Linked DNA regions of Drosophila melanogaster. The gene in region 1 interacts genetically with each later gene. Each region holds a gene or a part of one and is shown on either strand. Other genes may lie near its edges.

Region 1 (4,951 bases):
CTAACATTCTAAATTCGGCATTTTAAATATTCTAAAAGGTAAGTGGAGCATTTGTTTAGCCTTATATAAACCGGTTCACACTCCACGCCAAACACCCACACTTCCGATCGCATTCCGCCCAGCTATTTACTGCACTCAAAGGCTGACTTGCAATTTATCTGAGCAAATAAAAAATGGTGGATTTCCAGATCGGTTGCAATACGTAAATTTGCCGCAATTCAAGCCTCCTTAATGCAAATAAGTTGCGCATTTTAACTTTATGCATAACCTCTGGCCCAACCTATTTGGGCCCGAACTTTCCCCACCGGTCTGTTTTCATATGCATTTTATTTGTCTGCCGCTGTTTTGTTTTTTTCTTTGCACCGGTTTGCCTCCTCGAAAAAGAGAGATACGGATAAAAAAAGTGTGAAGAGACGACAGTGTGAAAGAGGGGGATATATGTGGAGAGAGAGAGACACGTAACCCATTCGACAGGCCTTTTCACATCCACCTGATTCTCCAGGTGCTGTCCAAAGTTTAATCTTGAATTCGTGTCGACAGTTTTAATTAAACCTATACAATTACTATGCATATCTACAAATAGATGGTTCGAGAAAACCTCCAGATAGCTCGTATCTCATTGGGACTTTTGCATGCACAATTTGGAAATGTTTTTAACTTTCTAAGTTTGTCCTATGTTTTGAGTGCTTAAACAACTTAAACAGTCGACGTTTATTTTTTTCATTTATCAAACTAGAAGTCAGATCTGAATACAATTAATTACTATAATTAGATTATCGTAAACTTATATTTGATAAGGATAGATGGACTCTTTTATTAACTTGTCAGTCGAAAAATTAAAACCATAATTTTATTAGGTTTTCTTTTTTATTTCTAGCGAATTTTGTATTAACAGTTTCATAAAGTTCAAGGGTCAAAAGTCATCATGCAATCTTTTTATTTCAACAATAAATATTTCTGGGACTAGAAAAACACCAGATGAGAAAATATCAGATTAGATCTAGATAATTTATTCGCCCCGTCATTACCAGCTTATTTACCAATCGCAAGTCTTATCAATATCGTACTATGTTCGAATTCTCCCAGTTGGACTAGAAAAAAAAACGCTTGTGAAATTCGTTTGGTGAAAGCATAAATATTGTTATTATATATAATTGTGGGCGTGGCCTCAGCTTATGGCGTGTTCGGCGATCGCGCCACCTCAATATGTTAATTAGGTACACATGTACCTATAAAGACTTAGAGATATTTATATTAAAGTCAGACAATGGATCTATTAAATATGAGAAGAAAAATCCAAAAAAACATCACGCAATTGCTATTTTAATTTGGAAGTAAATGGCATTGACTGAGTAGATAAGAATGGTAGACGTTTCAAGATAATCAGAGCGAGCCTCCTTCGCAACAAAAAAAAAAAAAGATTGGCGCCCAAGTTCAAATATTATCTAAGCTTTAACATGTCAGTTCGACTATCGTTATCGATAGTACCGCACGTACCAGCTGATTTTGAATTCGGGTGAAGTTGAATAAATAAGCTTAATGCCACGCGCTTTTCTAATTTGTATTCCTTATCAAAACAAGTCGGCCGTGAACTTTAAATAAAAGTGGCTAGCCCGCAATAGTGGAAAAGTTTTTCGCCAGCTGATAAACGCAACAGTTGTCATTCGGAAGAGAGGGACAATGCCACCCGCAATGCGAAAGCGATTGACAAGTCAGCCGGCGATAACGATTACATGTTTACGCGTTCGCCGAGTGCTTATTGTTTTTTATACTCTCGTTACATTATTAATTAAAACACTTGCTTTTAAGTGTGCCGAGTGTTGTGAGAGCAGCTTATCAAAGTCCGAGGTTCTAAATCTTATCTGACTGGGCATTTAGAACGTTGTGATTACGCCGATTGCGCAACAATTTGACGATTGTACGCCACCCAAGAGAGTCGGAAACTGTAGCGCTTAACGGCACTTTACAGTTATCAGTTACGGTTAGAGCGCGTCTGACGCCCACAGCATTTAATTTTGCTTTGTCCGAAAATTGTTCTCTTTCCCGGGACTCCAGTGTCATATTGTCTCGTATTGTTTCACATTGGTGACAAACACTATCGTCTCTCGTTTCCAGTCGTCGGTCGGTTCATTCATAATAATAATACCCACATCCACACCAATCCGGTTGTAAAATGTTCGCCCTGCGCCGCACAGCCGCAATGATGACGTCGGTCCACCGGCAGCCGCATCTCAGCCAGGCCGTTTTTCGGGCCAATTTCGCCATCAGCGCCGCGGTAGGTCCTCCTTGTATCCTCGCCCTCTGTCGCTCTAAATCTCTTTGCTTACTAAATTTCGGAATAGGGTGGGTCGATGAGCAGGAGAAAAAGATATTTTGAATTTTTTGAAGTCGGTCTCAATATTAAGATTATAAACAATCACGTAGTCACCTGTGCTGCTAGCATCCGATAAATAGGATTACTATATTTACTGTTTATACAAAAAAATTGAACAATTTTTTCTTAAATTTATAACCTATGAATGCAAAGTAGAGATATTAACTTTTAGGCAAGTACCTTAATAATTACGTCGTCACGACGAAATATTAAATATTACAAAGTAAAGATAAGGGATTACTTTTGAAACACGGTGTATTTTAATTTCCATCCATCAATATCGACCCACCCTATCCCAGGCTGATCAAAGTTTACTTTGCTTTGACCAGTTGTCAGTTTATTATCGTCATACATATAAGTTTCGCCTGTATCGCCTGTGCTTAGGACCCCAAAACCCATAAGATATCCATGGATAATGAAAGGATGTCCGCCGTGAGCGAGGTGAATACCCCAATACCGCAGCATTCAGACACAAATCCATTTTTCATGTAGCTAATAAGATTCCCATCCTGCCCTTCAAGCACTCAAGTGTGGTATGCTCTCCCGAACAGATGGCCCAGAAGATCAAAGCCGGTCCCGTTGTGGATGTCCTCGGTGACGAGATGACCCGCATCATTTGGGACTCCATTAAGAGCCAACTGATTCTGCCCTTCCTGGACATTGAGCTGCATACCTACGATCTTGGTATTGAGAACCGCGATAAAACCGAGGACCAGGTCACCATTGACTGTGCTGAGGCCATCAAGAAGTACAACGTGGGCATCAAGTGCGCCACAATCACTCCCGACGAGAAGCGCGTAGAGGAGTTCAACCTGAAGAAGATGTGGAAGTCGCCCAACGGTACCATCCGTAACATCTTGGGAGGAACCGTCTTCCGTGAGGCAATCATCTGCAAGAACGTGCCCCGTCTGGTGACTGGCTGGCAGAAGCCTATTGTGATCGGTCGCCATGCCCACGCCGATCAGTACAAGGCCGTCGACTACGTGGTTCCCGGACCCGGCAAGCTGACCCTCACCTGGAAGGGAACCGACGGTCAGGTGATCGATGAGGTCATTAATGACTTCAAGGGCCCCGGTATTGCCCTGGGAATGTTCAACACGGACGATTCCATTGTGGACTTTGCCCACGCCTCTTTCAAATATGCTCTGGACCGCAAGCTGCCGCTGTACATGAGCACCAAGAACACCATTCTGAAGAAGTACGATGGACGCTTCAAGGACATATTCGAGGACCTGTACAACAAGCAGTACAAGAAGGAGTACGAGGCGGCGGGCATCTGGTATGAACACCGTCTCATCGACGATATGGTTGCTTATGCCATGAAGTCGGAGGGTGGCTTCGTGTGGGCCTGCAAGAACTACGACGGTGATGTGCAGTCGGACTCCGTTGCCCAGGGCTACGGATCTCTGGGTCTGATGACCTCCGTGCTGCTATGCCCCGATGGCAAGACCGTGGAGGCTGAAGCCGCTCACGGAACGGTGACGCGTCACTTCCGCTTCTACCAGCAGGGCAAGGAGACCTCCACCAACCCCATTGCCTCGATATTCGCCTGGACCCGTGGCCTGCTGCATCGTGCCAAGCTGGACAACAATGAGCCACTGAAGCAGTTCGCCGACACCCTTGAGCAGGTGTGCATCGACACAATTGAGAGCGGCGCCATGACCAAGGATCTGGCCATCTGCATTAAAGGCAACATCAACGCCGTTACTCGCAGGGACTACCAGGAGACTTTTGAGTTCATTAACACGCTGGCCAAGAACCTGGAGGGTGCCCTGGCCAAGAATGCCGTTGCTGCCAAATGACTATCCGGCACTCAGTCCGAGCAGCAGGCCTCGCATCTCTAGAAAACTACTCAGCGATGCCTTGTCCTCGTCACCATATTCACAATATTTCCATTCGTTTTTGTAGATGTGCATGTCCTAGGCTAAAAATCCGTGTCCTCGATGCATGTTTCCCACTGTTTCATTGTCTCTGCGAGACGCAAAAAAAAACCCTGATTTCCCTTTAACGTCTAACGGAAAAGAAATTTCAAATAAATGTATTTTTATACCGGACTCGAGAGGTCTTTAACCCAGTCGAGGGTGGGCTCGTTACGAGGCCCGGTCCACTTGTGCGGCTTCTGATGGCTCTGGGTTTATTGGATTTGCCAGCGAAATGGCCACAGTTGTGTTCTAACACTTGGCGGCACCAGACCGAGACGGTTCAAGCGGAAGGGGCTCAGGATCCTGTTAGAAGGACGAAACTATCGATGCTAGCCGAAGCATTGGGCTATGGCTACCTGCTGGCCTACGTGATCTGCCTGCTCTGCTGGCCAGGAGAGGCGTATCCCGCCAGCAGTAGCTACCGGGATCTGGATATATGCAATCATTGGGACGGAAGACGTCACTTCCTGGAACTGGGAAGTCCAGCTGGAGAGGTGCACGCCAGGAATGTGACTACTACTGCCTATAGAGTAAGTGTATTTACAAGCTTCTCCAGACGGGATTTGGTCAGCAATTATGAACTTAAAAACAGAGCTCGCCGCTGGTTTTTAAGAACGATGCAGTGGCCGGGGATGTGTGGTACCAGTGCAGCCTG
Region 2 (5,736 bases), on another chromosome or scaffold:
TAGGATCGCGGAAAACTCCGGGGAAAAGAGAATTTCCCTCTACTCACCCGCTCATGTTTCGTGTGTTCTTTGTGGTTTGTGCTCCAACAATGATTTGAGCTTCTAATGTTACAATCTATATATGGCACTGTTAAGCGGCAGCTCGTCGATCGATAGTCGCGCCACAATGTTAGCTATCGATAAGTGCAGAAAAGCTCCACTCGCGAAGCTTTCGCAGGGCGGCAGTTTGACTTTGAACTTCGGAGTTTGAAGCTATCGCCGATCCTTGACCAATTACTGCCGGTTGGTGCTAATTTTGTGAGTGGACTCTAATGAGTACTGCTACTAAATATAGTGCTTCGTAGTGTAACAGTAAATGCAAAGATAGTGTTTTTTCTATTATTACCTCCGAGTACCTATAATGTGGTACTGTAAAAACTGGTATATACTATTTTTTCGGACTATTTTATAAGTAAGTTTTGCCCATTGGTTTCGTGCCAAATATGATGGTCCTTTTTAACTTCACAAGTTAACAAAATTCACTTCTAATGCCATTTCTGTATTATAAGGTTATGAAAATTACACACAAACAAAAAAAATAGAATCTATTAGGTAGAAGCCTTCAGTTAAGCACCTTATAGGGATTGAGGATGCTGTTGGGGTCCAGCAGCTTCTTCATCTCGCGCATGTAGCCAATGGCCACCGGGTCCTTGGAGTAGTGCAGGTAGTCCTTCTTCAGGAAGCCAATGCCGTGCTCCGCACTAATGCTGCCCTTCAGCTTGGAGGTGTACTCGTAGACGAAGGGTTCGACCCGCTTGTAGATCTCGCCGTTAAACTCCTCGCAGGAGACGTTCAGGTGCAGATTAGAGTCCCCCAGATGGCCGTATCCGCAGACAACTGTGGCCAGGGGACCGCACCTCTCTCGCATCACGTCCACAATGTTGTAGAAGTCCCGCAGAGGCAGCGAGATGTCGTACTTGAAGCAGAAGCTCTTCTCGATCAGACCCAGCGGCACCATTTCGCGGATCTTCCAGATCTCCTGCACCTTGCCGGGATCACCGGTTACGGTGCCATCCTGGATCTCGCCACGCTCCATACCGTCCCCAATGAACTGGTTGATCTTCTCCTCGTCGTGGTCACCGTTGCTGCCCGAGGTCTCGATGAGCATGTAGAAGGGAAATCCCGAAATGGGGGAGCTATGGGAAATAAGTTTGTGAACAGGATTGGTAACGCTCAGAGAAGACAAAGGTGGCGCAACTCACTTCAGGAACTTGAACTGCTCGAGGGCGGTGTTCAAGGCCCGCTCGTCAATCAGCTCGCAGGAGCTTAGAATCTCGCCCAGATTACGCTTGGCACTGACAAAAGTCTTCAGCACATCGTCGAAGGAGTTCAGGCCGATGAAGGCCACGTTCACCGCTCGCGAGGAATGGGGGCAGAGCATCGAAAGCTTCGTGACCACGCCCAGAGTGCCCTCGGATCCTATGAACAAGTGCTTCATGTGGTAGCCGGTGTTGTCCTTCTTGAAGTTGGACATAAGGTCCAGCACCTGACCGGTGGCCAGCACCGCCTCCACGCCCAAAACAGAGCCGTGCAGATTGCCGTAACGCACCACCCGCACTCCGCCCGCGTTTGTGGACACATTGCCCCCGATGTGGCAACTGGCCTTGGCGCCCAGGTCCAGTGGCACCGTCAAGCCCACCTCTCTGGCCCTCTGATCGAAGTTCTCCAGGATGCAGCCCGCCTCCACGACAGCAATGCCGGTGACCTCGTCCACGGATAACACCTTGTTCAGGCGCGCTAGAGAAAGGACAATCTCGTCGCAGATCGGCACGGATCCGCCCACTAGACCTGTGTTCCCGCCCTGCGGCACCACCGCCAAACGACGCTCGTTGCAGTACTTCAGGATGGCGGCCACCTCCGCCGTGCTTCCGGGCTTAAGCACCAACTTGCTGTTGCCTGGTTGAAGCAATTCATCGGAGAAATTCATTAAAGGGCACACGAATGTGAATGAATTTGGTTACACAACCTACCTCGAATCCTCTTAAGGAAGCAGATGTTGTATCCCTCCAGGTCCTCAGTGAGCACGAAGTTCTTGCCCAGGAGCTGCTCGAAATGCGCCACATCCTTGTCGGTCAGAGTGGCGTAGTTGCCGCGCTGCACGTTGTCGGTGATCTGAAATGTGGGTTGCATCAGTTGCATCTCCGCTGCGGACAACTCGCCACAGGAACACCTACCTCTGTGAGCTCCGGGATCGGAGCCCCGCTGCCCGCCATTGTGCGCACAGTGGTTGCGAAAGCGGGGTAGGTGGCTGCCAGGGCGGTGCGACTGGTGGTGGTGATGGTGGTGGTGGTGATAGGCCGCCTCATCAAGGTGGTGGCCCCGGCGCTGGCCAATCTGCGCACATGCAGGAGCTGTTGGAATCTCATCGTGGAGGATGGTTGCGGAAAGGGCTTCGAGTTTATCTGTTATATGCCGCAACTGTTATATGTCTCTGAAATGGGCAATGGGATGAGTACACTGTGGAATACCTTTGGGCCATACAAAATTCGTTACTTTATATTAAGCGTTAGGATGCATAAAAAGCGAAGTTATTATTATTATGGAACGGCTCGATAAGCCGACTCTCTTTGTTTAGACACAATGGCAGACTGCCGGACTTCCCCGGAGCACTAGGATGCTTATCACGTTATCACACCAACATTCATCCACTCGAGGGGGGTGTGGACGCAATCTTCTCCTCACCACGGGCCGTATCGCACTGATAGCAGGGACACCAGGAAACCGAACTTTTCCACTAGACCTCTCGGGCTCTAGGTATATCACTATATATGGCGACGTTATCAGCCCCTCCGACTCTGCGCGTGCATGCGAAATTAGCATATTTATTATGGACCACGCACACACACACTCGCACACACGCACACCGCAGCACGGTCTAGATTTGGTCTGGTTTGAAAAGTGCAATCCACGGTCCGTGGAGTCAAGATCTTTATGAGTCCACACAGATTATTGCCGGCAGGTAGATAGATCCCTACACAGAAACGGTCATAAAGCAATTTGGCTCGGGGCCAGATTGGAAGAGATACAGATTCGGATTCGGATACGGATACGGGTACGGGTATATGCATGGATAGATATGCCTGGAGGATTTGCACCACCCGGTTACGGTGGATTAGCCTTCGTGCAAAAATGTATTTGTATTTTGCAACGAACAATATTTCATGTTATGTACATATTTAAGACCAGTAGGCATTAAATTCACTATTGCAATTGTTATATAATCTGGAGCTGCACATACGCAATTTGTTAATTTTCACAGGAGTATTTATAACACCTCCTTCTGTCTATCTCTTACATATTTAAGTTAAGTACTTAATATAAATACTTTAAGTATAATGCATATATGAATATAGTCTTTTAGCGGGTTAATAGCAGTGCCCATCCCTCGTAATCATTATTGAGATCTATGTTTATTCTCACTCGCTCTCTCTTGCTCTGTATTTTTGTCGTTTTGTTTCATTACGTCAAAAAATTCGAGCTTTTGTGTATGTGTGTGTGTGGGGGCGGGTGCGAACGCGTGTTGTCTGTAAACAAGCGAGACAAACAGAAACACTGGGTTAACAGGTAGCTGATAAGCGCGAAAACAATATCAGCATCTGCATACATATATAAACCGGTTGTGAAACGAATATCAGATGTGTCACTGCAGTTACTAAAGGGATTAATTAGGATCCTCATTCACTAACACACGACAAGTAACCGGGAATGGGAGAGCCTCACGCGCCAGAATCTCTCAATGGAAAATTGAAAAACCGAAAGAGAAACTAACGCAGAAGCACTCAAAAGCATGTTGATCGGAACACCAACTGAACTTACAATGTTTATGTACGGATGGATGGGGGTCACGTCGAGGTCCGGCTACTCCTTTCATCCATAAGTCAGTGATGTCCTTCAGAGCAGCGTCCAACCCGGAATCACAACAAACCGCAACTAAAATTCGAAACGCAAAACAGGGGCAGATTAGCGTTAGTTAAGAGATACGATAGGCGCCAAACACCCCCCCCCCCCCCTCCATCAAAGAATTCAAAATGATCACGGAGCGAAAGCTCCCCAGGAGAGAGAGCGAACTGAGCTTTCAGAGCGAAAGCGAGTGAGTGAGCACACCACAGCGGCGTTGTAGAAATTTCAACAGTTCATATTGGGGATCGATTTGTGTTTTACTGTTTCTGTTTACCACTTCTTTATGGATTCGTGAACGGGAAATAACACAATATACTAATACAAAATTTTTTGTTTTTTGGGATGTTTTTTCTATAATTCAATTACTTCTAATAACCGCAAACAAAATCTTAATGCTTTGGGAAATCAAATTGATAAATCTCTGTTTACCTATTGGAATTTGTTATCAACAATTACCATTTACTATTATTATTACTTCTGTGTTTTATTTATGCCTTAGTTGCTTTTCAAAATATAGCTAGCTGCATTGCAAATTCACTGTGTAGAAATGAAAGTCTTAACATCTTTTATATAAAGAGATTATATAAACCGCTAGAATTAGTTTTAAATTTAAGCATATTTAATACATATTTTTATACCGTTTATTCCTAAAATTGCAAACTTGTAATCAAAACCAGTACGGATATCACCTCGCATAACAACTGTTATACAGCCACTTTAATTCACCACACATGCGTTAGCCACGCCCACTGAACCACTAAACATTTAGCTTGTCTCTGTCCTATTCTTCTCCGCAGGCGGCACAATGGTGCTATCTCTTTTGCACCCCATAAAAAACCTTTTCCGGTGGTGCGCCCATTTTTTATTCGCTTCGATCTTCCGTCGGCATTTTGTACTGCCAATTAGCAGCGACTTCTACAATTCAATCAACTTTGTTATTGTACCCAAAGAAAAATGGAGAAGATAACATTCTCATACACTTGTACCTGTTTCGCAACTCGTGAGTTGACTCCAATAATTGCTTCTTGGGTATCGATAAAGTCCCAATAACGATTGCTAATAACTTAAAATTTATAGCTTACAATCATGGAGTTCAATATTTAATTTTGTATCTCATGTTGGGTATGTTTTGATTAATTTGTGTGTCTCCATACCGAAAGGTATTAAGTTAAATGTCTATTGTTCTGTTTAGGATTAGTAAACACTTTCATTTTCCTTACCAGTAAAATTTTCCTAAAACCAGTAATTTAGTTCAGTTATTATGACAGTTTCTTAGGATTTTTCTTCAATACTTCTGAGTATCAAGGTGTGGATCCATTAAATTTAGAACTTCTGCCAAGTAAAACGGACTCTACCCACGCATGGAAATTATAAAATAACGCCAAGTGCTGCATTATATATATTGCAATTAAAACAATGGCAAGCGCAACCACACATCTCTGTTTGAAAATCGTTTGCAAATTTACAGACGGTGACAAAAATATAGGCATATTTTGAAAATGGAGTTATTGCGGTTTAATAGAATACATAAAGAGGACATGATTAGAAGACAATTGAAACGGCAAATAGTCCTATTTGGCTCCCCCTGCCATTTTCAATTCCTACGCTCGTTCACACCCCTAATGATCTTAGGGGTGGGATTACGTGTACACCCCTTGGGACATCAGAATGGATCCCCTTTTGAGGGTAATTGTATAATGTTTGTTTGGGAAATCGGTTTGTACAGGCCACGGAAAATGGTGGAAAGGGGTGGGTTGGTTCCAAAGGTCGCAAGTGTCACAGGAATCAACCCTTTAT

Evidence for each region. A genetic interaction does not mean that the proteins touch.
Region 2: of Idh (region 1) and D2hgdh, changing one suppresses a phenotype caused by changing the other (phenotypic suppression), as found in Drosophila melanogaster (one study listed by BioGRID).

What each region holds. Positions count from the first base shown.
Region 1 is NT_037436.4:8,355,880-8,360,830, reverse strand, and holds Idh (isocitrate dehydrogenase), read left to right. Parts: upstream 1-1,890; 5' UTR 1,891-2,173; coding exon 2,174-2,275; intron 2,276-2,705; exon of another isoform or gene 2,706-2,758; coding exon 2,759-2,815; intron 2,816-2,895; coding exon 2,896-4,176; 3' UTR 4,177-4,427; downstream 4,428-4,951. Other genes in the region: Culd (CUB and LDLa domain), read left to right, coding at 4,623-4,826, 4,889-4,951.
Region 2 is NC_004354.4:2,139,726-2,145,461, reverse strand, and holds D2hgdh (D-2-hydroxyglutaric acid dehydrogenase), read right to left. Parts: upstream 3,974-5,736; 5' UTR 3,856-3,973; intron 3,564-3,855; 5' UTR 3,460-3,563; intron 2,776-3,459; exon of another isoform or gene 2,533-2,775; intron 2,471-2,532; 5' UTR 2,406-2,470; coding exon 2,214-2,405; intron 2,152-2,213; coding exon 2,010-2,151; intron 1,936-2,009; coding exon 1,242-1,935; intron 1,176-1,241; coding exon 602-1,175; 3' UTR 525-601; downstream 1-524. Other genes in the region: Pgd (phosphogluconate dehydrogenase), read right to left, coding at 48-55.